Linked DNA regions of Caenorhabditis elegans. The protein of the gene in region 2 interacts with the protein of the main gene of each other region in a pairwise test. Each region holds a gene or a part of one and is shown on either strand. Other genes may lie near its edges.

Region 1 (3,752 bases), on a different chromosome or scaffold from region 2:
TTGACGGGAATTTGAAATTTATAAAAATATTTTTGGCGTAGATTTAATATTTTAAGAAAACACATTTTTGGATGGGAACCAAAATTTTTAAGACTAATTTTTTTAGCGGAAATTAAATTGTTTACTAAATATATCACTGGCGGTAATTTAAAATTTATAAAAAATATTTTTTTTGGCGGTAATTTGGAATTTTAAGGAGTATATTTTTGGAGAGAAAATAAAATACCCTAACAATTTTTCAAAAATCCAAATTTCTCTTTAAAAAATTGTTCAATTCAATTTGCCGAATAGCTTGACGAAATTTCCCCATTTTTTTCCAGATACCTGACTCATCGATTTTTTTTTTCAAAATCCCAATTTCAGGCGCGTCGATCAAAAATTCAACATTCTTCGCTCTTTTTTCCTGCTCCCAACTCTCCACAAAAAAAACTTTTTTCCCTCCTATATATATTTTGACACGTGTGCGTCATTTTTAAGATTGATCACACACGCTCAAGCCGAAAATTGGGGTAGATTGCGATGGGGGGAACAGTTGGCTGAGGGACGATGCTCTTCGCAAAGTGGCTCCGGGAGCTCTAGTCGAAATATTTTGATTTTGAGTGATGTGATGATGATAGGCACACACACATGTCGCGTAGCACTTTTTCCGGTTTTGTACAATTTTTTAGAATTTGTTTTCTACCTAAAATTTGAAATTTGAAATTTCAGCCAAAATCGTCAAGTTTTTTTTTGAAATTTAAATTTTCCCGCCCAATTTTGTTATTCAAAAAAAATACCAAACGGGCTTTTTTACCGCCAAAAAGGATTTTAAAAAAATTGTATAACTTCTGACTCCGCCCATTCCGATTCCCACTTGGCACTGTGCCAAGCCGCGCCCAGTGTTCCTCAATTGTTTACAACAGCGGCTCCGGGGGGCTCTTTTTTTTGTAACAGAAAACACAGACACTTGCACAAAGTTTATAAAAACGACCTCATCATATTTTAAGTGGTGCTTTGGTTTTTCGGTTTTTTTTTCGGCGGCGGGTTTTTTGGGAGCTAAATTTGAAAGTTTTGTTTTTTTTTTGGGAAATTTGGAAAATAATTGATAAAAAAATTGTTGCCAGGTTGTCCCATTACGGTTTGATCTACAAAAAATGCGGGAATTTTCGCATCCAAAAAATGTGACGTCAGCGCGTTCTTAACCATGCAAAATCAGTTGAGAACTCTGCGTCTCTTCTCCCGCATTTTTTGTAGATCTACCTAGATCAAACCAAAATGGGACAGCCTGACACCACGTGATTTTGCAAAACCCAAAAATATTTTGGAGTTTTCAGAAAGTTTGGAAAAAAAAAATTCCAAAACATTTCTTGAAAACTTCCCAAATTTCTTAAATTTCCCGGAACAATTTAAAATTTTTGACTAATTCAAAAATTTGAAAATTGAAAAATTTTGTAAAATTTCCTGTTTTTCTCGAAAAAAATTTAATTGAAGTTTCAAGTTCCCGCTGAAAATTATTTAATTAATTAGCAATTGCTAAGCTGGTGCTAAATAATTCAAATTTTCCAGAAAAAGTTTTACAAACGTTCTGAATTTTCTGAAAATTTGTTTGTCTGTTTGTTTGTCTGTTTGTCCTCCCACTTTACCCCACAGCTTCAAAAATCTCATTCACACATTCATCTCTTTCTCCTCTAATAAATCTTCATATTTCTTCCGTTTTTCTTTCAATTTTCCGCGCGTTGTTTTCCTTCCCATTTCCTAAAAGTGTTAGTTTTTTTTTCGCCCAAATTTGTCAAGTATTTCCGCAACAACTGTTCCCTAAAATTTTCAGAGAGAAAGGAAAAAGCCCCAAAACATCTAAAAAAAACATCTGAAAAAAAACTGAAAGGGTGAAAGAATCCATGCCTTGAATACAAGTCGCGGACCACTGGAAAAACGGCTGAGAAAAATTTGGAAAGTTCTGGAACTTACTTGGATTTGACTCTCGGAGCCCGGTCGAGCCAAAATTGCGAAGCAGCCGGAGCAGAACGGTCGGACGCCTCCCGATATGAGGCCCGACGAGGAAGGTGAGGTAGAGCGCGATAGCTACACAGTTCGGTGGAGCGCAGTTTCTAAAGTAGTAATTCAATGATCCTGTAGTTGTTTGGAGCGTCCTTACAGTGAGCCTGGAGTCCTGTAGAGCGCCATTGTAGAGGCCCTAGTCCAGTGGAGCAAAATTTGAAGCTTATAGTTCAGTAGAGCACAGTTACTGATCCTCTCTCGTTTCAAACTTCCCAGTCCACCACAAATCTTCCTACTTCCAGATGGCACCACAAAAAGCCCCGGATCGCGATGGACGAGGATATGGGCCATCATCGCACTGATATTGCTCATTTTATTCCTGTTAGTCTTAGGCGCCGCTATTTATTTCTACATCAACTATAAGGACAGCTCAGACGTTTGTCTTTCGCCGGGATGCATCAAAACTGGTGGGTTTTTTTTGGGGGAAGTTAATTTGGGGTTCATTAGGGCGAGCGTAATGAGTTCCAAATTTGGAAGAGTTCCGGGAAGAAAAAGATAGAGGGATCTGTGGTTTTGTGGGATAGGTATCAATAGGTCCTAGTAGTCCCAAATTGTCCACAGGCCCAACCCACAGATGTTTCCATGGGTAGGCCCCAAAGACCCATACTTACCTCTTTGAAGGATCCTAGTCAGTCCATAGGTCCCATAGCAAATGCCTACTCGACCCACATGATCCTTAGCAAGGGCCATAGGTCCCATAGAAGTACCCATACTTATCCTCATTCCAGCATCCGTGATATTATCATCCATGAACTCTTCCGTCGACCCCTGCGATGATTTCTACGAATTCGCTTGTGGTCAATGGATCAAAGGACACCCGATACCAGACGACGCGCCGAGTGTCTCAAATTTTGAGAACCTCGGCCAGGACCTCGAGTTTGCGCTGAAAGGTCTGTTTTTTTTCTCGGCAACTATTCGACAACCCAGAAATTCCCTTTTTTCAGAACTTCTCGACGAGAACGACGAGCCGTATGACTACGAGACATCTGCCGTCGGGAAGGCCAAATATTTTTATAATTTGTGTCTGAACGAGTCGGAAATTCTGGACAACTGGCGGACGACGTTCGACGAGGTGGTGAAAAGTTTCGGCGGATGGCCGAGTCTCGGGCATCAGATGAAGCCCGATGCGAGTATTGAGATGTTGTACGGTGAGTGAAAGAAGTTCAGTGGGGCGCGTTTGCTATCTCCGTAGTTCAGTGGAGCGCGCTTGTTATCTCCGTAGTTCAGTGGAGCGCGCTTGCTATCTCCGTAGTTCGGTGGAGCGCGTTTGCTTAAGCCTCTCAAAAATCTGGAATTTTCAGCCGACATGGTGGCCAAATTCAAAGCAGATAGCCTATTTAAAGCGACTGTTCAACCGGACGACAAAAATTCTCAGCGCCACGTCCTCCTGGTAATTTTCAGCAGAAATTCATTCTTTTAAAAAAGTTATAAATTTTCAGATTGATCAGCCACAGCTTAACCTATTCGCCCGGGATTTCTACGTGGCAGCCGAGAACGAGGAGCGCATGGCGTACTTGCAGTTGATACGGTAAGGGGGTAGGAAGGGTGAAAAGAGGCAAAAAAGAGGCAAGAAACGGGCAAACAACGGGTAAGAACCGGCAAAACAGGTAAAACAGGCGAAAAAAAAACAGGCAGAAAACAAGCAAAAACAGTCAAAAAAACAAGCAAAAAAAAAGGCAAAAAACCGGCAAAATACGGGCAGAGAACGTGCAAAT
Region 2 (3,752 bases):
GAAAATTATATTTGCACAATATTGGAAGTATTTTGTCCCCTCATAAAATAACTACATTCCCATGAAATGGGGGTTGTATTAGATTTGTTTTTTTTTGCTAAAAAGCTCCTTGGTATAATTTCTGAGTTGCGGGAGTAATGGTAACGAGGCTGGTAGCAATAGTAATTGATATTTCAGAGAGGTCAATTGAGTAAACAAATGGAAAAAATTGTGTTTTAATTTGGGCTTGCAATGTGATAAGAAGCACAAAATATTGAGAAGACGAACTAAACAACGTAGTATATTTTCAGCCTTTGATAAAATTGTTAATCTCTCTAACATGTTCGTGTTTTAGCGTTCTGAACCTACAACCAAAATCTTCAAAATGTAAAAGTAATCAATTACAAAAAAAAAAATAAAATTCGACCAATGCGACACGAATTGGTAAAATTCTAGATTTATGATTAACTGCCTTTTTTCCAAATTTTTGAACAGCCATTAAACTTTAAAAAATTTTATGAGAATTCATATTACGATTTTTTTTCAAAATTACTTTTAAAAGCGCAGGTGTTATACAAAAGTACAAGCGTTTAAGCATGCGTAAAAAATTTGCAAAATAATCACATATACAAAAAATGAAACAACTTCTAATTCGTCCCAGCTAGATTTTCGAGTGAAAAAATCAATGACAGATAGAAAGTTGATCTATGTTTTGTTTACTTTTCAACACCAGAAAATGTATTCTGGTATGACTAATATCAAAATTTGCAACTGAATAGACAAAGATGAAAACTTTTCAACATCCAACAGTGGAGGCTTCCAATCACTTTGAGTGCACAACTGGAGAACTTCAAAAAATCTTTCAAAAAAGAGAACACTCCTGTTTCTATAGCATACTCTATTGGCGCAAAAAGAAAATTCCAAATCTCTACGAAGAAACTGGAGACGAATCTGGCCCATATTTCAACAACGCCTCTATGGGATGTCGTTTGCGACGACGGCGAAGAAGAGACGCTTGCATCTGCCACGTAGGGTTTGCATAAATCAAATTGAAACGGATTCGGTTGACACCCCAAAAATGATGAAAACGAAAAAAAGGGGAAACGAGAGTGGAGGTGACTGAAAAGCTCTCGATCTTCATCGTATCTCCATGACTCCATTCTTTCATAATCTGGAGTGGTGTTCGATATGTTGGTCAATATCTAGAAAAGAAACATATGTGACAGGCTAAAACAAATTTTCAGAAATTTCAAACAGCTAAAAACTAGGATTTTTGGAAACTTTGCTTTAATTACTGCTCAACTCAAATATTTCACTACATCTCACACTATGTATTTACGTTCATTTTCCCCATTTTTTTATTTTTCGAAGTTTTAATAAATTCTTTAAAATATTCGAGATTTTACTATAAGAATTTTATAATTTCGTCGTTCTGTAAGTCGTTTCAATAAGGTTTGTATTTTTTCTCCGTTTTTATTTTTTTTGGATATTTTCAAGGCTGTATATATAATACTGGGTGAGAAATTAGACGCAACTACGAAAAATATCATCAGAATAATTAGTCATCTCGACCTGATTGACAATTCTTTGAAATGAAAAATACTTTTTTTTCAGTTTCTAATAATATGTGACCCCTCTATGACCTACTCTCCAAACTCTTTGTTACCGCGATGCGTCATGCAATGATGCATGCGTCTCTTGTATTGTTTTGGACTCTTGTCGTCTATACTACACACGCACACACAGAGAGACCGTCTTCCTGAATGAAACTTGGCACAGTGCCCGCGCTGTTGTGATCACTGCGCAACATGGTCCTCTCCCTTCCTCCTCCTGCGTCTCTCGCAGTAGAGTGTTGTCTGCAAACCGTTCGATAATTCTTGCGGGGCAGAGTTTTTTGTTGTTTTCTGTTTTCAAATCTTCATTGTTTTCATCTTATCTGCTCGTTTCTTTTTTCATGATTGAAAACTGTTTATCGAAATAATATTTTGCAGCTTTGCAAAGTTGCAAACATGCTTCGTTTTTCCTCACAAATTCCGACAGAGCTTTCATTTACTTTCAGTTACCATCACCTGATGCCAGCATGAAAATTCATCACTTTCTCACACTTCTATGCACATTCCTTCCCTTAACCACCACTGCACTTACTAACTCAACTCCACTGTCACTATTAGGACCATGCTACAAGCGTTGTGTCACAAAAGTGAGTTTTTGAAATTATTTTTGGCTTTTTATCTTGTAATTTCATAATTTTATTTCAGTTTGGTGAAACCAAGGAACAACTCACAAATGCAGAAACCATTTCCCTCGAATACGATGTTTCGAATAACACGGAGTTTTCATTGGTTTGTTTCCTAATTTTGTTAGTTAACAAAAAAAATGATTTTAAAATATTTCAGTGCAAGCTGGGATGCAACAGCCACGAATACACCGATCTGAATCTGGCAGCTTTCCGCTACGGACAGCTGGCATACCAGAAAATCCTCACCACAGTCGAAGGTTTGGATTCACAGAAAAACAATTATTTATCTTATTAACCTAAACGTAATTTAGATGTACCAACCCGCGGAACTGTTCTGAATGATGTGTTCATTGTGTGTCTGGATACTTCATTTATGCCGTCCAACAACTCAGCACCGTCCGCCAAACGTCTTCTATCCGGCACAGTTCTTCTCGTTCTTGATGAAGATGTTGCCAAAGCGGATAATGTGTTTCTTATAGAAGTACTTGCTCGAAATGCAGACAAATCTGCTGTTCAGGTGATAAGCCAACAATGGGTGAGTATAAAAAAACAGCTGAGGTACCACACAGATGTAGGTATGTAGTCCTTACATGAGCATGAACAACCGATCAAAAACGTAGCATGAAAATAAATAATTCAACCGTTATTTAAAATTTTCGTGATATGCTCCAACATTTAAATTAACGTGTTTTTAAAAGTAATAATTTTTGCTTATTCCTATACCAGATAATATAAATATTCATTTCCAGTGCTACTCATCCAACTGCAATATCACCTTCAACGCTCCAACAGAAGTTTCTAGTTTTGACGTCCGTCTCCGCGTGTCCACGTTTGATAGCAATGGTCAAGTCGGCGGCATCAATTTTTCTAAATGGCACAATATCAATCAGATTCTGACAAAAACTTTTGTCGACATGTCGCTGAAATCGGTTGTATGGAAAGCTGAAAAGGCTGCCGCAAACTTTGTTTTCAATTTGACTGCAAGTGACCATGTTCCAGCTTGCTCTCTTCAAATGATCTATCGAAGTTCTCTCAGTTCAGAGCTTTTGCATAGAAACTTTTATTTGGTACGTTCAGTCATTTTTATTTTGAGTTGAAATCCGCACATCTTACTCAAACAAAAACATTTTTACAGGATCACACTCTTGAAGTTTTTGTCAACAACTTAGATTTCGACAAGATCTACACAATGCAACTTGCTCCTTCCGGTACCCACGATCGCTCAACACCTTCACTTGCATCGGCAGTTATTGAGATCCCGCCATGTAGACATTTAGTGGATGACTACAGTATGTGTGGTAAGAGTGAAACTTAGATAAATGTTTAAAAGTAATGTATTCTTCAGCACCGCCGCCTGTCTCATCACTAAGTTACAATTGGAACTTATCTCCTACTAGTGAATATGAGCTTCTTATTAAATGGAAGCTCTTGAATTACATGGACGGCCTGAACGTTACAGAAGAGCTCTCAATTCCAGTGGCATATTTCTTGTTGAACGCCCATCCTTTGATAACCGCCAACAATGAGCAATGTG

The links.
Region 1: the proteins of mes-1 (region 2) and nep-2 interact in a two-hybrid assay, tested with the Caenorhabditis elegans proteins (one large-scale study listed by BioGRID).

The regions. Positions count from the first base shown.
Region 1 is NC_003280.10:2,723,813-2,727,564, reverse strand, and holds the start of nep-2 (Neprilysin-2), read left to right. Parts: upstream 1-1,812; 5' UTR 1,813-1,903; coding exon of another isoform or gene 1,904-1,957; 5' UTR 1,958-2,023; coding exon 2,024-2,042; intron 2,043-2,279; coding exon 2,280-2,444; intron 2,445-2,765; coding exon 2,766-2,927; intron 2,928-2,981; coding exon 2,982-3,185; intron 3,186-3,338; coding exon 3,339-3,427; intron 3,428-3,476; coding exon 3,477-3,565; intron 3,566-3,752. UniProt on the Caenorhabditis elegans protein: Required for olfactory plasticity, which is the change from positive chemotaxis to dispersal after prolonged exposure to an odorant. Thought to antagonise snet-1 by degrading excess snet-1 peptides and thus enabling olfactory plasticity.
Region 2 is NC_003284.9:11,855,442-11,859,193, forward strand, and holds the start of mes-1 (Protein mes-1), read left to right. Parts: upstream 1-2,036; 5' UTR 2,037-2,059; coding exon 2,060-2,179; intron 2,180-2,237; coding exon 2,238-2,321; intron 2,322-2,375; coding exon 2,376-2,475; intron 2,476-2,529; coding exon 2,530-2,753; intron 2,754-2,967; coding exon 2,968-3,285; intron 3,286-3,353; coding exon 3,354-3,516; intron 3,517-3,563; coding exon 3,564-3,752. UniProt on the Caenorhabditis elegans protein: During early embryogenesis, controls asymmetric cell division and the asymmetric localization of P granules of germline precursor P2 and its descendant P3.